Saccharomyces cerevisiae S288C: one gene and its partner. Changing the gene in region 1 together with any one later gene gives a genetic interaction. Each region holds a gene or a part of one and is shown in the gene's direction. Other genes may lie near its edges.

What was found. Genes that interact genetically often act in the same process or in processes that back each other up.
Region 2: mutations in ERP4 (region 1) and YSY6 together harm fitness more than expected from each alone (negative genetic interaction), as found in Saccharomyces cerevisiae (one large-scale study listed by BioGRID).

Annotation. Positions count from the first base shown.
Region 1 is NC_001147.6:359,683-363,266, reverse strand, and holds ERP4 (Erp4p), read left to right. Parts: upstream 1-2,182; coding exon 2,183-2,806; downstream 2,807-3,584. Other genes in the region: PET127 (Pet127p), read right to left, coding at 1-1,855; YOR015W (uncharacterized protein), read right to left, coding at 2,915-3,274; protein phosphatase 2A regulatory subunit RTS1, read right to left, coding at 3,320-3,584. UniProt on the Saccharomyces cerevisiae protein: Involved in vesicular protein trafficking.
Region 2 is NC_001134.8:562,924-566,055, forward strand, and holds YSY6 (Ysy6p), read left to right. Parts: upstream 1-2,307; coding exon 2,308-2,505; downstream 2,506-3,132. Other genes in the region: TOS1 (Tos1p), read right to left, coding at 280-1,647; EXO5 (Exo5p), read left to right, coding at 2,800-3,132. UniProt on the Saccharomyces cerevisiae protein: Interacts with target proteins during their translocation into the lumen of the endoplasmic reticulum. Protects unfolded target proteins against degradation during ER stress. May facilitate glycosylation of target proteins after termination of ER stress.

The DNA of each region.
Region 1 (3,584 bases):
TTTCGTTATATGAGCGGAGGTTTAGTAGCTCCTCTGTTAATTGTTCGTTCGAAGTATCCTTTACCAATAAAGATTTATCCTCGTACTCAGGTGACAACGGCAGGGCTACAATATTTAGCACCGGTTCGTTAAAGAAGCGGCCACTTTTGGATCGTTTTTCTTCAACTTCGGTTTTAAGCATTATTTTGCATTTTTCCCATTTCGTATTACTTGAGTTAAGTAACTGCTCAACGTGTTTCAAAATATTACTGAACAGATTCATAGACATCTTAAATTCCCTATTAGCCACCAAGCAAGCAATTTTCCTATCGTCCCTGTCATAGTGTAGAATGTAGTCCTCCTCACCATATATCCCTTTTGTGATATCATTCTTCTCCTTTAACAAACTGTCGAATTTGCTGTTATACGAAGAATGGATTATATAATCTAATTCGTCCAAAGGTAGATATTGGAATCCAAACATCTTAGAAATATTGTGGTATGCAACGAAAATACCGTCCATTTTGCCAATTCTAGCTTGCAAAGAATACTTTAGAAGGGCAGACCTGATTAGTTCAAAATATTCTCTTTCCAAAGACTCAAATTCCCCATAAACTTTATCTATCTCATATCCAGTTTGGTTGTTATTACTCTCTACATGTGATAAATCGTATCTTATGGCAGAAACTGCTCTTGTCTTCAGATCAAATACACCCGTTCCAGGTAGATTTGGGTCGTACGCGTCCAATTGAGATCTCACAATGAATTCATCTATACTAGAATAGTGATAATTTTCACTTTTTGAACTATTCTTCAGGGACTTTTCCGTTAAAAAGTCTTCAAGATAATGACCTAGTACAGAAAGCACAATCTCCCTATCCAGACTTCTATCTGAATCAATAGAACAAATGCCATTTCTCTTCTTTCTCAGAATGACTGCTGACGGAAAATATGCACTTTCTGAATAATTGCAGTTTTTTTGAGGAAAATTTTTCGATATCGAGGAATCAATGATATTCAATCTTCTGAAATTGGATAATAAATAGTGCAACTGAGAAAGTACTGATGTCATGGAACTTGATGAAGATATGTACTTTTTTCTATGTTCTTTGGCAACCTTTAACAGAGATTCATCTTTGTGGGGTGTGATGAATATTGGCTTGCTTTGTCCTTCTCCAGAGGAGTCTGTGTTCACATCTTTTTCACTTTTCTTTTCCAAATACTCTGGATTAATATTTTCCACTGCAGGGTCAAAATTATACATTCTGCTCCTATTATCTCTCAATTTTTGTAGCGACAACGGTTGGTATAACACTCTCGTTAATCCATGACCAATCCTAGGAGGCTTTTGGTTGTGTTTTTGAACACCATCTTGATTGTAACGTACTAATGCGTGCCTAATCTTCTGGACATTTATCCGAAAAGTGTATGAATTGCTATCTGAATATGTTCTGCTAGCGGGATATGTTCTCCTAGCGGGATATGTTCTCCTACCAGGATATGTTCTTCTACCAGGATACGTTCCTACCTTTGTCCGCTCCAAATACTTATCATGTCTATACTCCTTCTTTATATTTGTTTTCAGTAGATTAATCGCCTTGTCCATTTCTTCCGTATATTTTTGTCGACCTCCCTTTTCCTTGTTTCCAATGTCCTCTACAGTCGAATTTGTGTCATATATTTCATCGACCATCTCTAAAGCACTATGCAGGTCAGAACGTAGCTTGTCTGGTGTTTCTCTTCCACTAGGGGCATTTGTGAGAGCAGCGCCAAAGTGATAAATCGATCGCTGTTGATAGCTTTTAGCGGCGCTACCTATTCTGCAAGGCTCAACAGATAGACGTCTGGACAGGAATCTACAGTTGTAGAACCCCATTATCAAAACTATAAAAGTATCAGGTAGCGTTTGGCTCTTTTTTGTGCTCTCTCAAGTGCCCTGTTTATATTATATTTTTACATATTTGTTTCTTTATTAACCAACGGCATTGACGGAAACGCGCTTTATTATGGACTACTTTTTTTTCACTGTTTCCTGTTTTTTGACGTGATATACTCAAAGATGAGCGATTGACGATCTGAGAATTCTATTTGGGAACTCTTCTCTGCTTTGAAGACATTTATTTCCCAGCTGCCTTTGAAGTAGTTTCACGAGCGCTAGTGAAGTTTTTTCATAAATATATATTCCCAATCATCGCTAGGAATTATGCGCGTTTTTACTTTGATTGCGATTTTGTTTAGTTCATCTTTGTTAACACATGCATTCTCCTCTAATTATGCTCCTGTAGGCATATCATTACCTGCTTTTACCAAAGAATGTCTTTACTATGATTTATCCTCTGATAAAGATGTCCTTGTGGTCAGTTACCAAGTTTTGACAGGTGGGAATTTCGAGATAGACTTCGATATTACCGCCCCTGATGGCTCTGTTATCGTCACTGAAAGACAAAAGAAGCATTCTGATTTTCTACTGAAGTCGTTTGGTATAGGTAAGTACACTTTCTGTTTGAGTAATAACTACGGCACTTCCCCAAAGAAAGTTGAAATCACCCTCGAAAAGGAAAAGGAAATTGTTTCTTCCCATGAAAGCAAAGAGGACATAATCGCAAACAACGCCATCGAGGAAATTGATAGGAACCTGAATAAGATCACCAAAACAATGGATTATTTAAGGGCTAGAGAATGGAGAAACATGTATACTGTGAGTTCTACTGAGTCAAGATTAACATGGCTCTCATTACTAATTATGGGGGTAATGGTTGGTATCAGTATAGTGCAGGCATTAATTATTCAGTTCTTTTTTACCAGTCGCCAAAAAAACTACGTATAGGTTGCTTTTCAAGCTCTTAAAATTGTTGGATCAGCTGTGCTAAGGGGAAGGCACTTTTTTGTATCATGATCCTATTTTTTTTGTTATTTAATTATTTATGACATACCTTTATACTTTAGTTTTCAAAAATCCAATAATAGATAGGCAAGGTTTACGGAAAAGAGTGGAGTGCAAAATAAATAGAGGAAAGGCAGAAGGAAGAAGGAAAGCGAAAAGAAAAACGAAGATATATTTGGAGAAAAGTATAGAAATAATAAAATGAAGACACATCGATTGAAGTATGCTCAAATGATGAGAAAAAGAGACCTTTATCTCAGGCCACAAACAACCATTGTCCAAGTGGCTTATCTTTGCTATAGTTTTGTTCGAATATTCGGGGATTCTATCTTTGGTTTCTTCAACAAGTTGACCCCATTTACCAGTTCTTTTTTGCTCTTCATATACTGCTGCTCTTTTGAAATGTGGCATGCCCTAAACTTCCTCACTTCTTCGAGCTTGTAATGAATTGCTGTTTCACTGTATCTCGCTGTCACAATCATTTTCGTTCTCTTCATTTAATGTGTTATTCTCACTTGCTGTGTTGAAACTGTTTCTTAATTCTGGGTTTTTGATTGTGTATTGGTCCTTATCATTGTTAATCCTTAGATTTTTTACATATTCTTCAAGTTTGCTCCAATTTTCTTCACGTTGCACCTTACGCTGTTGAGTTTCTTTTACACTTGATAAGTACAATGCATTACAGTTTTCGTACAATACTGGGTTTGTTTCCAGAAAAATT
Region 2 (3,132 bases), on another chromosome or scaffold:
ATAGTACAATGTCCAGAAGCTTGGTTTTTAATAGTATATAATAAAGATAAAGATAGATAGAGAACATAACTCTAAACTTTAAGAGTGAATTTTTTTTTTTTAGTTTAGTTTTTTTTTTTTTTTTTTTTTACAATAATGTATTGTTCTTGGAAAATAACACAATCTGTTCAAAGTGGACAGAAACCCTAAAACAAAAATAATAACGGGGAAGGAAAAAAATAGCAAGTGAAACATAAATGAAAAAAAGGAAAATTTTATTGGTTAATAAGAAACGATCGACTATGGCAAGGCCGCAGAAGAACCGGACTTGCTCAACCATTGGTCAACGACATCATCGCTTAAAGTAGCATCAAAGCTTTCGTCGACTTCGATAATGTGAATAGTTTTATCACTTGAATTAAAGATTACGGCAGCCTTTAAAGTACCATCAGTTGGTCTCTCGAAGTAATCTTGAGTACCACCATCTTGGCCGTCATGGATGTGTGAGATTAATTTATCAGAACCAGCGGTCAAAATTTCGAACAAATCCATTTCACCACAGCCAGTTTTCCAACAAGAACAAGATGCATCACCATATTGCAAGGTTCTTGGGATTTTTGCATTTAATAACCAAATAGCTGGCATATCTTGATTGTAGGCAGAACCGCTGGTGTCACTTGGCATAGAAAATTCGAAGACGAAAATTTTATCAGCCCCACCAAACCCATGATAAGCAGGAATGCCTTCTCTGTAATAACCACAATCGCCGTTATTACCGGAACATTCTTCACCGGAGAAAATCATGAATTCATTACCAGATTTAATGGTGACATCACCAAGAGCTTGAGCGGAGGCAGCACCAGAAACACCATCTGAAGCAGCAAAAGAGATGGAGTTACCGAAACAACTCGACCAGACACCAGAACCGGCAGTCCCCCCTTGGTTGTTCATGAATGTACAGTTGCTAGTAGAGCCTGGGACAAAGTAGGAACCTCTGGACCAGTCACCGTTAGTGTTAGAAGATGATGACGAAGATGATGAAGCAGCAGCAGCAGAAGAGGTGGTTTTAGAGGAAGAGATGGAAGACTGGCTTTCACTCGTTTCAACTGCTTGAGCACTGCTGGACAAAACAGTAGAGTCTTTAGTGTAAGAAGAAGGAACAGCAGGACCGACAACGGTATTGGTGGAATCGGCTGTGACTGTTTGACCATTACTGTCGACGTAAACAGTGGAAGTAACTTGAACATATTCAACAGCAACATCCCTCTTGTGCTGATGCTTATGTCTGGAGACAACAGCTTCACCTTCCTTACAGGACTCGATTGATTGTTTCTCTGATCTTTTCTTCAAAGCATTAGATTCACCATTTGGGTAGTAAACACCAAATTGTAGTAACTCGATCGGACCCCTGAAATGAACAGATAGTTCCTCGTTGAAGGGAGCCAAGCTACCAGAAGCAGTGAAATCAGCTTGGGTACAAGCACAAGAAGATTCATCCATATTGGTGACATCTTGGTAGGTAGCAGATAAACCGACGTTAGAGTAAATGATGGCATCGGTTTGAGCACAATAGTAATTACCGCCAGAGTAAGTACAATCAGCGTTCACGAGTGACACAACTGAAGAAAACAAACCGACTAATGCGGTCATGGAAAGCTTTTGTAACATTTTTTTCGTTCAAATTCCGTTAGGTTTTAGATATTTTATGGGGTGTAAATGGAAAAACGAAAAGGTGAGAAAAAGACGTTCTATTGAAGGAGTGACTAGAAGTTGGATAAGTTAGGTTGGTTTGAGTTTTGATTCTGGAGTCTTCTTGCGAGAAAAGAAATAATTATAATATAAAAAAAAATTGAATGGAGATAAGAAGTTTAACTAGCAAAGTTCGAGAGATATAAAAAGTAGAGATGCGAAAATAAAATTAAAACAAATCTGAAAATAATGGAAGTGAAACAAGGCTAAGCAAGAAAATTTTCTATATTGCCAAGACAGGAACGTTTGTGATGAATCACATCTGCATTCGTGGTATATTTAAATGAAAATCCCAAGTTTCGAATTTTCACGTTTGCTGTACGACGAAAAAGCGTGGAAAAATAAACAAAACCAGCACTAAATCGCCAACGAAAAAGGAAAGTCGCCAACGCGAAAAGAAAAGAAAAAGCGAGGCGCAGATCTCGTGGTATGTGATATCGTGTCTAATGACTTGACGTGGCTTTTTTTCTTGTCGCCATCTGCGCTTACTTGCGTTATATCAAATATAATTTCAGCACAGCATTACATGCAGAAATAGCAGGGTGCAGAGGTCGAAGTAGATAGAGGACAACACCTGCGATGGCCGTACAGACACCAAGACAAAGACTGGCTAATGCCAAGTTTAACAAGAATAACGAAAAGTATAGAAAATACGGTAAGAAGAAGGAGGGCAAAACTGAGAAAACCGCACCTGTGATATCCAAAACTTGGTTGGGTATTCTTCTGTTTCTTCTCGTAGGTGGTGGTGTTTTGCAACTAATCAGCTATATCCTATGAAGCAGTGGCAAATTGCATATATAAGTGTACAGTGGAAGCAAGTACGTAAATAAATAAGCGATTTCGAATAATAATAACAACAAGCATAAGGCAGTATTACCCGCGTTGTCATTTATGGATGCGAAAAAAGATGAAGTAATTCAAGTGCTATTGTGATTTACCATGCCAATCAAACGTGCAACAAAGATGAGTATGAGGGGGGACCCAGGCATAGTACACAGAAAAGCTTTGTAGACTGTCTTTGTTTTCTTAATTTTTCAAGTAGGCTTTCTGCTTTTCTTCTGTACTTATCGTATGCTGGGCCGGGCACTAATCAACAAGTATGGATTTTTAATTCATCCTAGGAGATTTGTACATTTAAACGATAAGTCCCTTGATGGAACATTTATACTACCTTCGAAGAAAAATCATATGTATGATGTTCCAACTAATGATCCAAGCGGTATCCTGAATGCCTCGGATATCGATAGAATCAATAATTTGCCATTTTTCGATAACACCAGTCCGACAAAAGAGACAAATACTAAGGAAGGAGCATTGTTGAGCGAAAAATTGGCCAGCGTTAAAGAATTATTTGGAGAAGACCCTGAAAATCCTTCGTTTATCAATTACAGATTCCCCAGAGGT